2 linked regions of the Oreochromis niloticus genome follow. The protein of the gene in region 1 purifies or fractionates together with the protein of each later gene. This does not show direct contact. Links are inferred from orthologs where the notes say so. Each region holds a gene or a part of one and is shown on either strand. Other genes may lie near its edges.

The links. The genes of interacting proteins can lie anywhere in the genome.
Region 2: the proteins of nuak2 (region 1) and ppp1r12a purify together in Homo sapiens (affinity purification with mass spectrometry; 3 studies listed by BioGRID and IntAct, counting the BioPlex papers as one, with this or other methods). This does not show direct contact. The link is inferred for Oreochromis niloticus from reciprocal best matches to the Homo sapiens genes NUAK2 and PPP1R12A.

Annotation. Positions count from the first base shown.
Region 1 is NC_031970.2:21,808,991-21,816,453, reverse strand, and holds the start of nuak2 (NUAK family SNF1-like kinase 2), read right to left. Parts: upstream 3,021-7,463; 5' UTR 2,751-3,020; coding exon 2,511-2,750; intron 1-2,510. Other genes in the region: dstyk (dual serine/threonine and tyrosine protein kinase), read left to right, coding at 7,405-7,463. UniProt on the Homo sapiens protein: Stress-activated kinase involved in tolerance to glucose starvation. Induces cell-cell detachment by increasing F-actin conversion to G-actin. Expression is induced by CD95 or TNF-alpha, via NF-kappa-B.
Region 2 is NC_031981.2:15,912,173-15,919,817, forward strand, and holds the start of ppp1r12a (protein phosphatase 1 regulatory subunit 12A), read left to right. Parts: upstream 1-4,645; 5' UTR 4,646-4,756; coding exon 4,757-4,993; intron 4,994-7,645. UniProt on the Homo sapiens protein: Key regulator of protein phosphatase 1C (PPP1C). Mediates binding to myosin. As part of the PPP1C complex, involved in dephosphorylation of PLK1. Capable of inhibiting HIF1AN-dependent suppression of HIF1A activity.

The DNA of each region.
Region 1 (7,463 bases):
AACAGCAGAGAGAGCACAGACGTTAAGGCGGTGAGGCGTGATTGCGGGTGCCGCTCAGGGCGTCCGCCTCCCCTGCAGCGGCGCTGCAGAACATGCCCCGCCACACACATTAACCAGGTAAAATACATATTTAGGCAGAATTTTGCAAATATCTATTTTTCATTTTTCAGCAGCATAGTGCTTTTTTTCCAATTATTTTTTTAAAAGTCAGGTCAAGGCTCCAAAAGCCCAAAGGCGATATATGGGTGGCGGCTGACAACAGTTTTTGTTTGCTACATGGATCATTTTAGTTCACCTGGGTGTCTTTCCTTTTGTTATATTTCTTTAAGAGTTCAAAATGTGTTAATTACATAAATAAAATGTAATTTTCTCTATAGCACTTCATGGATTTCATAAGCAGCACACCTTAGTTGTTCACACAAAGCACAAAGGTAAAATACAATATATACAGTGTTATCTTCATTTTAGATGTCAAAAAGTATTCGCGGCTCCCAGTGTTTTCTTTTACGTGGAAACTGGGTCCAAATGGCTCTTTGGGTCTTAAAAGGTTGCTGACCCCTGCCCTATCCTGATGTATGTTGACACCCCCCCACCTCACCCCACACCTCACACCTAAGTGGATTATGCAATCAGACTCTTGCACTTAGACAATGGAAACAGCTGTAATGCCACAGCACGCAAGATGAAGCCACCCTTTGTTTTTGTGTCACTCCCCTGAGTCAAATGACATATCTCTGTCCATTATGTTGTCAATAATCACGCGTGCAAAGGCTTCTCTGCTAAATGCCATTTGTTGGGTGTGAGCTTGAAAACGCGTATTTGGGCTAATCAGTGTTTTGATACTTAAAAAAAAGAAAAGAAAATTGCAGGTTTGAGGCATCAGGAAGCTGCCGGCAGGGATAAATCCCAGACACCAACTCGTTTCTTATAAAAACAGCAGAGCCAGTCGGTGAAAGAGCAGAGATGGGCGTGTGTGGACACGGGTCAACTTGTATCACTGCATGTTTACTGTAAGCACCAAAGGGAAGGGGAAAGGGATTCCTAACACTTACTTCCTTGACTTCTCCACTTTCACTTACACTAAAGCAGGGCTTTTAACAAAGGGCATTTCCGATAAAGTATGAAACAGCAACCGAGTCAGGCTTCCTGAGAAAAACCCCAGGTTTCTACAGCAGGAATGTTTAGTTTTCATTTTAAAGTCTAGATGTGGGCTTTGATTTGGATCATTTTAACACACTTTCCACTTCCCAGTATGTTCGATGAGCCACGGCAAGTAAACAAACCATTAGGCAGGACGAATGCAAATCACATGTTTATCGAGAGAACAAAGATTTTAATAGGTACACCAAAAATAAACTCAGGTGCCAGTTTATTATGTGGGTTTGTTTAAACTGGTTTTAAGTGTTGTTGTTGAGTCAGGGTTTGTTTTGTGGTGCCACATGACCCTGACCCAGTCCCGTACAGTATTTTTTAACTGGTCTCACAATCATAATCAACCCGCTTCCACATTCCTTTCTAAAATATTTACAAGCTAAAAATAAAACTCTGATAAGGATGTGCTTCGATATCTTATAATCAAGGGGAAAAAACCCCTCCTTTTTATGACTCTTTTAAGGGCTTATCTGTCTACTGTTTTAAATTCCTCCCATTTCCCCTTAGGCCATGGAGAGCTGGAATTTACCTGGAAGCCCAGTTGCAACCCCCGCATCTCCTCCTCCTGTTCCTTTTATCAAAAAAAAAAAAAAAAAAAAAACCCAACAAAAAGAAAGTTACCTAAACTGTTTCCTGGGGAAAATAACTAACCCAGCCTTTTCCAAGAGACTTTCTTTTGTGCCTCACATGGGCTAAATTTAAAAAAAAAAAAGAGAGGTTATGTAAAATGCCCTGTGATAATGTTCTGTTGAAACTCCATGATAATGACCTCAAACTGGAGCAGATCTCAGTGTTTAACCTGAATACACCATGAAGAGGCATGGGCAGATGCTTGCATAATTGCATTTGCGCTTAAGCCAAATTCAAGCGCTTATCAAGCAGATCAGAAAGAGTCTGCGGGCTGGTGAGGAGGAAATTATTAGATTATGGTCAGTATAGTCCAGTGTGAACGTAAGAAAACATCATTTATAAACATACTGAACCCTTCGGCAAACTTTAGCCAATAAACACACACCTCAGGAGAGATGGCAGGCGCACTTTCAGCTTTATTACTTTACAATCCGCCCTAATAAAAAAAAATAAAAATATTATTTTCATACAATCCAGCAATACTTTGCTGTTTTCTTTTTTCAAAGTGAACGCTCTGCGGTAGAGTTTCCACGCCTTTATTTGAAAATTCAAATCCAAACGTGCTCTACCTGTTTGCAGACAGCCAGTCACCTAAAATAGCGCTCGCTGTCTAAACAACAGGTGGCCGATGGGACGAGCAGCCCAAACACCGACCTCAGACTGATTGCAGGTAAAATGTGATCAGGTTACGAATAATAATAATAAAAGAAAAACAACACCATGCTTACCAGTCTACCGGACCTTTCCTTGGCCTTCTTCACCTTGCCGTAGGTTCCTTTTCCGAGGGTCTCCAGAAACTCGTACCTGTGTTTCAGGTTGTGTTTGTGGTGGTGCCTCTTCACGGCTTGTTTTTTCACGGGCACCTGGAACTGAGCTTTCCCGAAGGGTGTGTTTTCGTCGTGAAAAGCTCCCCCGACGGACGACCTGCTGCACGCTGACGAAAGATGGGCAGCGCGTAATGCATCCATGCCGACCCCCGGCAGCGGTGTTGTCTTGTGTCGCTTTACTTTCAGACCCAGGTGTTAAAAATGCATTCCCTCTGTGTGGAGCCGCAGGCACGCTTCAGGTTAAAGTCTCGATACAAAGTCTTCAGCTGAGAACTGGAGGTTAGTGTGATCGAGAAGCTCTATGCAGGAACTGGAACATCTGCGTGTTAGCTCAGTAATGCTGCTGGGACTCGGCAGCAGGTAGACAAGAGTGAGGGGGAAAGCGGCGGAGCACCGCCCGCAGACGGACACGTCAAATAGTGGAGGGGGAGTTTCAGGTAAGGGAGGAGCGCTGGATCTGCTGCACCGCGCACACCGTGGAGTGAACAAACAAAGTGAACTAGTTGAGATTGGATTTATGGGCTACGTGTATATAACATTTGTGCTTCAGCTTTATTTAAAGTTAATGTTAAAAAGAAGAAGAAGAAATTATTCAGTATTGCCTGGTAACCTCTTTTAATGCCCACACAAACCTTTTTTTGGTTTTGCTTTGTTTAGTTTTTAATTTTTGGGTGATTGGTGTAAAAATCTGTGTTCCACATAAACAGACCAAGGACACCCCACAAAGACGAAAAAACCCCCCAAAACAAACAAAAAAAACAAATGGGGCACAGAAGTTGAACAGGTAGTTGCAACATATCCAGTGGTTGCATTTAAGTAAATTTACTCAAACGATCGCCGTCTGACGAAACCGACATGTTGGCCTACTTTGCAACACACACCAGATCTCATATATGAGAATAGTAGTGCAAATGACCCAGTGTTGATTATAATATTGGTGCTATCAGCAAATGAGGTAAAGGATGACAGATGATACTATAATTCTCTTATGTGATAAAATGCAGATGGATGGTATGAGAGTATGTGGTATTATAAAGCATTGTTGTGCACGTTTAGAGTATTTAAAACCTAGACAGGAATAAAGCATTACTTTTGACAGTTGCTTATTTTGAAACCACTGTGTAATCGATGGAGCTTATGCCTCGAAACTATCCTCTTAAAACGTTATGAATAAGCCAGCTTCTTTCCCATCATTGCTTCTTGCTCATTTCCAATGAAGTGGAAAAAATACACAGCTCTCTAAGATCAAATCTGCAAGGTCAAAAAATGAGTTTTTGTGTTTTGCTTTTTTCTATTCCACCAACGGACCGCATTTTCAGTCCTGACTGACTTCATGCAGCTATGTTTATTTGGATATTCTGATCTAAACGGGAAGCCAGTGGTGAGCTGGGAGAAGTGAAATCTGGAACAGAAAACGTTTAGATGAATAATGTTGTTGCAGCTATGGGCCACTGGAGGTCAGCATGCAGTCACTGTTTGCAACACTGCAGGCTGGTTAACCTGATTCGAGGCCACACGTTCATCACTATATATTCAGTACAAACCTTAAGGCAAAACATCTGACAAGTGTTTGTCAGTCAAGACAAGATGAGCCGCCTTCCCTGAACTTCATGAATTAATACTTTAAACCAAGCAAAGCTGCGTGTTCACACATTCTGTTTTAACTGACAGGACCTCAAACTTTTATTGTCCTTCAGAAGCTGAAATGTCACTAACAGCATTACATTTCACTGAAACAAACAAGCTGCTTTTACTTGTCCTTGCATAAACCATGTTAGTCAAACTTACTTGAACTGCAGTTTTTCCCACTCTGGTTGCCCGTGCACCCCGCAGCGGCGCTATGCTTCAGCAGGGGGTCTGCTCCACATTTTGGGAACCAGTGTTCTAAATCGTTGGCCTTTTTCTGTTTACCGCTCACTAATGTTTCACAGATTATTCACTCGTGCATGCAGAGGAACATTTTGAACAAATAAACGACAGTGAAGTAGAAAAAAAAAGAGAACAGTAATATAAAAGTGCTTTCGCAGCTAAGTAATTTGGTCAATTATATGTTGTTGTGTTGGGAATCAAATCAAAATACCAGCTAGATAACCAAAAATGTTTTGTTGGCGATGACATCAGGTCAGATAAGGTCACTGTGGACTGTGGTGTTCGCGGATGACATTGTGATCTGTAGTGAGAGCTGGGAGCAGGTGGAAGAGAGCCTGGAGAGGTGGAGGTATGCACCAAAGACAAGAGGAATGAAAGTCAGTAGAAGCAAGATGGAGTAGAGTCAGAGTGGAGTGAGTGGAGTCGAGTGTCAGGGGTAATTTATAACAGAAGGATAGTAGCAAGCGTGAAAGAGAGAATTTACATGATGGTTGTGAGACCTGCCGTGATGTATGATTTTGAGACCGCGGCACTGACAAAAAAACAGGAGGCTGAGCTGGAGATGTTAAAGTTTTCACTGGGAGTGACGAGAATGGAAATAAGTAGAAATGAGTAGATCAGATGGACAGCTCAGGCTGAGCAGTTTGGAGACATGTGCATGTGCAGAGGAGGGACAGTGGATGCATTGGACAAAGGATACACACATTTAAATCTTTATTAAAAACACATTTATTCTCTTTGGCATTTGATTAGAGTGTAAAATACTTTTGGACAATTGCATTTTATGTTATGGTTTTATTTTATTTTATTTTACTTTATGCTAATTATTTCTGCATTTTACTGTAGTTTTTCTTGGGGCTATATACTTTTAATGTATAGCACTTTGGTCAACCCTGTTGTTTTAAATCTTCTATATAAATACATTTGACCTTTGAGAGGATGCTAAATATCAAGCTGCCAGGTAAGAAGACAAGAGGAAGACCATAGAGGTGATTCAGTGAAGGATGTAGTGAAGTAGGAAATGCGGAGGGTTGTTGTGACAGAGGAGGATGATAGGGGATAGAGTGAGATGGAGGCAGAAGCTCTGCTGTGGCAACCTTTTAACTGAAAGAAGAAGAAGTTTCAAGAAGAGAACATAAATGAATCTGTAAAGTTATTGCACATGTGATGTCCAAATATTATTAGTGTTATCTGACGTTATATCTGAAATATTATACATTTATTAAATCAGATCATATAAAGCTTTGGCACAGAAAATATTCCTGATTTGATCTGACCTTAACTAACCTTTTCGAAGATAATGTTTTTGTAATTCAACCTTTCTGCCAGAAGAGGGAGCTCACTAGCAGCTTGTAGTTCTGACACATGTCTGCACTCAGTTTCTCACTGTAATGGGCCGACTTGGTACGGGACTAATAATAGCCCCATATTACTTGTAAGTTCTTAGTGTCTTTGTCTAGCAGAAGTTTGTCATGTGGAGTGATATAAAAATGAAAACTATCATTTCATATTTGATTTGAATGTAAATAAACCCATGTGGTATGAGAGGTAACCACATGCTGGATAGATTGCGAGTAAAGCAAGGAAACTTTTGGTTGACCTAGAATTACCCAATTATTAAACTAAATAATTAAAACAAATGTAGATGCCTGTGATAGTATAACTGAACATAAAGACAAGTCCCATTCATTTCCAAGGATGGACATGCACGTGTGCTCATGAATTAGTCGGAGAACTAATCAATAAATCTATATCTCTGCTGGGATTATTATTGATCAGATATTACACTGTGTGCACAAAGCCGTAAACCAGATATTTTCCACTCTTAGTCTTTTTTCGTTCATAATTCCCCTTTTTCCATCCGTCTATATCTTCGCCTCCCGGTGGAAACGGCGTTCTCTCTAATGCCTACACTTCCCAGAATGCCGCTTGGGCCCCGCCTTTTCCTCCGCACACCGCTCTCGTCGAGTTTCTGTTTTGCTGTGATTTCACTCCTGCTTCTCTCAGCTATATGATTTTGACACTCCTCGCCCTGCACCAGCCCCACTCGTCCTATTCGTCACCACCAGCGACAGCACCCGGCTCGGTTTGGCAACTGTCAGTCGTCGGTGTTTGGGGTGGAGGATGTCCGCTGGCTCCACCGGGCCACTGTTGGTTAGGAACGGTCTATAGCGCAGCCTCCTCTGGAAAAACGGAGTTTTTTTCGTGTTGTTGTTTTAAAGTCGTGCTCGGGCTGTTTGTGTCGGTGACAAAGCCGGGCCCTCTCTTTTAAACACGGGGCTGCACTGCTGTGAAAGTGTGCCGCGTCAGGTTAAATGGATATGTGTGCCGTGCCAGGCTAAGGCGGGGACGGATCGGAGATGCCCTCTGGCTAGCAACGCTAACTTTCAGTGGACCACAGCTAGGTCGCAGCACTGATTTCTTAGCGTAATTTTGGCCGACACAACGTAGCCTTACGTGCGTGCTTTGTTTTTAAGACACTTGCAAGTTTGTTGTTAGTAATGAAAAAACACTGCGACTATTAAAAGGAAGTAAAAATGATTAAATAGCGATAACTCGAAGCGGTTTTCTTCCACTCGAAGCTTGACGTGAAACTAGCTTAGCCGTGCTTGTCAACAGGACAACAACAAATGCCTTCTTCTCATTCACGGACACAACAGACAGTGGGGACCGTTTAGCACTGACGCACTCCTACTTCATGTATGTTTAAGGACACTACCTGTTAACTTGACTCCTTTTCTTTCTTTCTTTCTTTTTAATTAACAAATGCTAGCAGGTGGTTTTGGGCGAGCATGTGAACTAACTAGTTAGCGCGCAAGGAAAGGGGTGTGCATTAAGACATTTCGGGTTCACTCAAGGTGTTTGGCACCTGACCACTTAAGTCGCATCGAGGACAAGGCAGCAGCAGCAGCCCAGTCTGTTTACCATGGAGGGAAATGCACAACAGCAGAAAACGACTCCTCTAACTCGGGAACTGACGAGAGT
Region 2 (7,645 bases), on another chromosome or scaffold:
TGACACTGTAGACTTTAAGTAGACTGTAAATAAAAAAGAGACTAATGGCAGGAATATCCGTGAACGACCGGCACTGGCTACAGCGAGGAGCTAGCAAAGCAGCACAAAAGAGGAATCCTATTATTATTTCATCATTTTCACACATTTTAGACATTTTCAGTTCACAATACTCATTAAATACATTTCCCTACATGGAAAAAAGAAAAAAAAAAGTAGACTGTAGCAGTCAGATGCATGGCACTTATAAGGAATATTCAAATCCATTGATGCTTTTCCATTGTTTTGGTTTCAATACAAATTTAAACATGTTTGGCAAGATCGGACGCAGCAGAAATGAAACACAACCAAACCTACATCCATTTTAGTCGTAGTAGTAAGTAGTAGCTGGGACCTAGCCCAGCTGTCATGAGTACACCCTGGACAGATTGCCAGTCTATCACAGGGCTAACATAGAGACAGGATGCCATCCACACCTATGACCAACTTAGAATTGCCAGTTAAGCTAACATGTATATTTCTGAGTGTGAGGGGGAACCTGGAGAACATGCGGACTCCACCCCGTCACATATTCAGAGCCTGGTGTTCATATGTTGACAGGGACTGGAAAAAATAATCTTACGAAACAATCTTTTCAAGCAACTGAACCAAAACCTCCAAGTAAGCACATTTTTTTGCTGTTTGTGCTGTCTGCAGCTCATAAACTCGCTGATGTATCACACAGATACACAAACACCTACACACGAGACTCTCTTATTACATTCAGAGCTGGAAGTGACCCACAGCGCTCGCCTTGTTCTGTCAGTCACTGTGAGGTCGACTCTCCCTGCCAAACAGCAGCTTGCACATCACTTTCCCTGCAGCCCTCCTGGTATCAGCACACTGAAGCCACTGGCCAGCAACTTCCTGACGCTGACGTTGTTGGTGTTCCATATCGCTCTGACTCATTAGAACCGTGCAGATTTCCCATGACATTTGTGTAACAGCCGAGCTGAGTGTCTTCTAAGTCCAGTTTACTGTGCTTTTAGGCAGTAAATGCTTCTGAAATGAAATAATATTGGGTTTATGTGTACACACGCCACACAATGGCTCATGGTGGCAGTTGTATAAATGTTTTGGTTCATGATTTTGCTTGAACAGCTTGTTATTCAGGATGTCAACTTCAAGTTCAGTTGGAGGGGGGCACCAAATTACGCACAGAGATTACCTTTCTCATTTTTAATGTCTTTAAACAGAAAAAAACCATCATTAAGTGACACCCTGCTGTAAAGAAAACAAGAGCGACTGCATGCTTCATACCTACAACTTGACGGCAACACCGCACCCCCTGCTGAGTACACATGAATGTCTGCCAACAATAACTCATGAGGGTGCCAAAAAACAAAAAAAACAAAACAAAAATCACATGCACTTTATGTACCACCCTGTTTTCACTCCAGATTGAACTGGACCACCCTGGTGCTTAAGTCTACTAACACTTCAAGTGTTCGCCATCAAATCATCGCAGGTACTCTGTAATAAGACGGCTTCCATTTCCCTTTGGGGAGCGATGTCTTTTTTATGACATGGAAACTAAACGCGTTACATAGTTGGAAAAGCCGTTTCGTGAATCTGGGTGGAAGAAAGGGGAAATACCGCCAAATGAGAGTTTGTTTAGTTAGCATGACAAAATTCCTTCCACTTCCTGAAATGAAAATAGCCACATCTGTAAAAGTTCATTTGAACCAAAACGATGATAATGAAGCATTTAAAACAAAAACAAAAAAAGATCTTTGTACACAAATACATAAACTGAAGAGAGTCACAGTGTGACACAAAGAAAAAAAGTAATTAAAACTGTTTTTAAGACAGGGTAAAGGTCTTTGGCAGAGGGAAATACATATGAAGATGGAAAATGTTGTAAATCGATCCACTAAAAAATAAAGTGCAGAAGCATATGGGGTGCTGGATGGAGCACAGGAAAAACTCTGAGTCGGTGTAGGTAGCAGATTTACAGGGTGGCATACAGTGGGACATATAAGTGAGCGCGTGCATCTAAATGCATGAATTTGCCTTTGTAGGCTGCCTTGATTCAACGACATGATTTTCCTGTGTTTTTCCTTACTTTCCCAATTTCAAAATGTCTTTCAAAAATACAAAAATAAAGCACCTTTATTGTACCACTTATACGCTAAAGGGCACAAATGCTTTCCACTGGGACGCTACTCTCTGTTTGTTAGCAGCCATGTTGTTTCTATCAATCCTGATAATTTTATACCTCAGCATAAATTTGGTTGGGATACAGTCGATGTTCTCGACTGTCTGTTTGAGCTGTCCAGTTATATAATACTAAGGCAAGTTCCTTATTCCAGCAGGGTTATTGCTGAGAGTATGTTACATTTTTTTTCTTTATATTATTATTATTAGTAGTAGTAGTAAGCTGCTAATGTATTAATATTATACTGTAATATTATAGATAAAGCTTCCCGGCAGTATATAATTACCAGCTATGGAGAGATTTTGTGTCAGCCAAATGTTATTACCACAGTTGCACAAAGGGGTAATAAATGGATGAAGTGACTGTATCAGTATACATACAGAAGTGATGATATTTTACATGATGTGCAGATAACTGCAGATAAGAATACAGGTGTGCCTTAAATCTATCCACGCCCTTTAGTGTGGCTTTGGCACCAAATGTTTTGAAAGAACCACCCAGAAGAAAGGGGAAACACCTCCACTGAGACAGTCTGTTTAATTCGAACAATAAAATCATTTCACTTCCTGAAATGAAAAACAAAACATGACTTTTGTAAAACTGATGGTTCATTTGAGTTGCCGCTGATTGTAAGACAACATAAAAAGACTCAATCAGCACTAATTCAGCATAAATAAAGGACAAAAATAAATAACAGACCCAAGACTCTGCTATAACTTCATAGTGATGCTACTAGAATACAATGTATTTATGATATTCTTTGATTTTCATGCAACAGCCTCCATCAGCCACAGAGCAACTTCGTTACATAGTCACCAATTGGCAATGCTAAAAAATGATAACTACAATGCCATTTGCCCTCTCCATTATTGATGGGTTTTAGGGGTCCAGACCTGCCTAAAAATGTGAATTGAGCCCTCTGAGCTGATTCTACAACCATTAATTAAATCAAGTCAGAAAGTTTGGTAATGAAAAAGTAAACACCCATGATGCCATAAAGCTGCGATGTAAGTTATTGCAGCACAAGCTGAAGTTAATTATTTGGTTAGCTGTAGTTTAGCGCTTCTGCAGCAATAGCAGTAACCAGCATGATGGAGAAGGGCACTGACGTTGGAACAGATGGCTCTGTGGAGGTTACAGTTTGGAAAGTACCTTGTATGTCGTTTTGGAGCTAAAAACAGGTCATTCATCTGGTTGTGCAACTACTCTATATGGACACACGTACTGGGCCACACCTCTTTCGAATTCAGATGTGCTCAGTCCCATTGCCACAGGTGTATAAAGCAATTCTGACTGCTTTTACAACATTTGTGCAAGAATAGGTCATTACAAAGATTTACTGAATTTTGTGTGATCAAGTATAAGTCATATCAGTAAAAAGTCAAAGCGTTAAGGTATCATAGCAGCTGTGAAGTTACAAGTGCTCTGGCGCATAGTGCAGAGTTGCATACCTCCTGTGGCATTAATATTAGCACAAAAGCTGTGCACCAAGAAATTTGTGGTATTCATAGGTTTCCAAGGAGAGGCAGTTCCTAAAAGTGTAATGTGTAGGTGGCCAAGAACTGTTGCTTTCTTGTGTGGCAAAAGAGCTAATTAAATTCATCTGACATTAAATATTTAAATATACAGTATATTATGCATTTAAAGGAGATCTGACGGTATTTCAGATGAGATACATGCTCTTTTCTGAGTATAATGAGAATACAGGTGTGCCTGAACGTTTTGGCTCGCCTTGCGATGTACCTTTAGCACAAAATGCTTTAAAAGAACCACCCACAAGACGTGGAAAACATCTGCAAAGAGTATGTTTGTTTAGATAGCATAATAAAATGCTTTCTGCTTCCTCAACTGAAAAGACAGGGGTGACGTCTGTAAATCACAAGTTAATTGATATGATTGCTAAAAAAAAGGACGGGACACACTGGAGAGATTATGTCTTATGTCTATGATGGATTGACAAAAGCAAGGTGTTGTGGGTGCACGTGCCACCCCATTGAAAAAATCCTGGAAACGTCCCTGATCCAGACCTCCTTTTCCTTTCCTTCACCCACAGAGAAGGTGGGAAGATTTGGTTGTTCTTACAGATAACACTGTTTTCTACTGCAGATACATTCACTGACATGTGGTTTTACATCACTTCTGTGTTCCCAGCTATATCACAGCAAACAGTAGCCTAGAGGCGGTCAAAAAATATTAGCTACTGCACGTTAGAGAGCCTCTCTTAGAATTTTTTTGTGAACCCGCAGAAGGTTATGCAATATTTTTAAGTAATCTTGTCTTATTTGGTGTGCACAGTCGATAAGGATTACCCTGCTCGCTCACTCACTCACTCTCCCTTATAATCCGCTGATGATGACGTTATACTGCAGTTCCTGGGCTTCAGATCTCGCGAGGTTACGGGAAACAATCCAGACGCGCTCTCTCTCTCTCTCTCTCTCTCTCACTCTCAGTTCCCCCTCCTCCCCAGCCCTCCCTTCCCACGCCCCACTGCGCTGTGGGATAGTGGCACTATAAAGTATATCCTCTCTCGGCGAAAGATAAGAAGCCCGAGACAGGAGGGGGATGAAGATGGCGGACGCCAAGCAGAAGCGGAATGAACAGTTAAAGCGATGGCTTGGCTCGGAAACGGACCAGGAGCCTCCTGTTTTGAAAAAGAAAAAGACGAAGGTGAAGTTCGATGATGGCGCCGTGTTTCTGGCCGCCTGTTCGAGCGGCGATACCGAGGAGGTGCTCCGAATGCTTGACCGGGGCGCTGACATCAACTACGCCAATGTAGACGGTCTCACCGCCCTCCACCAGGTTTGTGTTGGCCTGCCGTGTGTGTTTATGTCAGCAGCTGGTACCATTAGACATAAATATCGACTGGCTGCTAGCAAAAGCTTACCCTGGTACACCTGTCAAATGGAAGCCATTCTCATCCCGTTGTTTACCTACCTAGCATACTCGTCCTTCTCGAAGCAGAGAAGGGATGAACCCGTTGGCTTCCTCCTGAGGCTGTTTAATTGGTAAACCGCGCTAACTATGCATACACTTGCCTGAGTATAAGTGGCAAGAAGCAGCAAAGTCAAACACCTAATTTCCAGGGCTAATTCTACTTCATGCCTCCATAAACTAGCCTGAGTCTGTAGGTGCAGTCTAATTGCAGTACTGCTGCATTTTTCGGGTTGAAACATTGGCTCGGTTTTATGTTGTAAATGCAATCAAGCCAGACAAGCACCTAGTGTCTGTGTGGTCCATTGATTATTTTCGGATCCTACTTAGTGTGTTTGGAGCTTAATATAAATGATGTTCATGCAGAATGAACCCAGCAATAGATGGCTGCTACCTGGTTAGCAGTAAAAGTCGTTTTGTTGATAAACCCTCCCCGACTGTGGCTACTCTCTGGAGAGGAAGCAGAAGCTACCTCGCTAACTAGCTTCAGATACAACGTCATTCAGATACAGGCTAATGTTACGATTGCAAAACAATGATTGCTTGTCACTCTAACTTAAAAAATGCATCCCCTCATAAATATTGGGCATATTAGTTTAATTGCCAGGAAAGAGTGAATGGTAACAGCGCAGTATTAGCCCAGCGGATTGTCTGCTAACGTACTTTAGCATGCTAAGATAAATGTCGTTAGCTGTGTGGGGCTTTAGCTGAAGTTAATTCATTCATTAACTGACCGGAGAAACGGCGTCAGCGGTAAATTATGGGCCTCATAATTTTATGCTGTTTTGTGTATAGTTAATCGGAAACGGCTGTGTCGTTAGCGCTTTTGCTACACCGGGATGTTAGCCGTGCCAAGCTAGTCATTTGCCCGCTAACTGGGGTAGCTACTTTGACTAGCATCAGTACTTCCACAGCCGATAAACTGAAAATGGCACCTCATCTTGATGGGTTTTAGGCGGTATGAGGTAGTTTCAGTCCAAATGGGTTAAAAGCCTGATTTGAAAGCTTTATAAACCACCATGGATCCAGTGATGGAAGTGGGTTGCTTGTTGGTGCAGTAAGCTTACATAAAGTTGTGACCAGGTTAAGTCCAGTGAGGTGTGCAAAAGCTAGACTAGAATTAAAACTTAAATAACAAAGAACCTGATCGTGTAATTTATGAATTTGTTTCTGTTGCTTCAGATGTAGCTTTTACCATTAAACAAGTACACTTATTTTAAAAACAATAGGATTTAATAACATGTTTTTCAGTTTGTGCTTAATGGATCAAATGATTACGGGTATACTGTTAGCTTTTACAGTGACATTTTCATAAAGAAATCTTGCTTATTTTGTACCAAGAACATTGCAGTTAAGTGTTTTACTATTTGGTGGAAATAAGCAGGGTGAAGGGTTTGGGGGATTTCCCCTTTCTGGACTGCATGTTTCTGCCTCTGATAAATAATTTGTCATTCCCACTGGAAAATAAACTTTTATCCCCCCCCCCTTTCCAGGATTTTTGCAGTGTCTTGAAACAGTCAACAGTGCAAACATCAGTCCAATCAGAAACTGATCTCACTTTCAGTGCTTGTGAGGCTGCTGGGGTGAGATGATCAGGATCTATTCCATTCCAGCTTTTCATTAAGCCAAACTGTAACGTTGGATCTCTGGGTCCAGAGAGTTGCAGAAAAACCTCAGAAATATTGTGTGCCAACCAGTTGCCTCTGTGTTGACATCTGAGGTCTCTCCAAAGGTGATTTGTGCAGCTTCTTCTTTTCTTCTTTCTTCTTGTTGAGTTGCGGCTCGGCACCAGGACTGTTCTCTGCAACATCCTGCAGTCGTTTGTCGCCTTTTGCATGATGGCGCAGCTGCTGTGATAGGCTGATGGAGAGGGGTAGAAGCATTTTGTTTAAAAAGATCAACCTTAACCTGATCTTCGTTCACAAGTTAGAACATGCTGTCGAACATATTACAGAGTCAGATAATTTCCACATATTTATTAACACTCAAACTGGAAAGTGTGCTGCTGATCTCAGAAAATGAAGTCTCCTTCCCTTTACAGAGACTTTATGGATTCGGGTAAAAGAGGGTGATGTGTTTTACATTTGGGGTTATTTCAAATTAATCATTAAAGCTATGAAGCTAACATCCTCTGAAGAGGGAAACGGTGGTTGCCCCTCTATATATTTTTTTTATTTTTCTCTCCCTGCATATTGCATCCTGGATATCAGTATTTTAATTTGAAGAAATAAAGGATAATGCTGGTGGAAACGAGCATTTGTTTATCTTGTTTGCACTAGTGTGGATAGTGTTTACATGATGTAAGGATGTACAAAACTATTCACATTAAATGTTTTATACTTGCATAGATCTCCTGTGATGTCACTTCATTACTCATGTCCACATGTCTCGTCTTAGTAATTATGAGCACTGCTTTATGCACCACCTTGCTCCCATGGTGTGTTTGTTCTCCAAGACTTACGCCACTGCACAGATTAAAAGTTTTAAAAGCAGGTTTTAAGGCATGGGTCATCAGCTTTA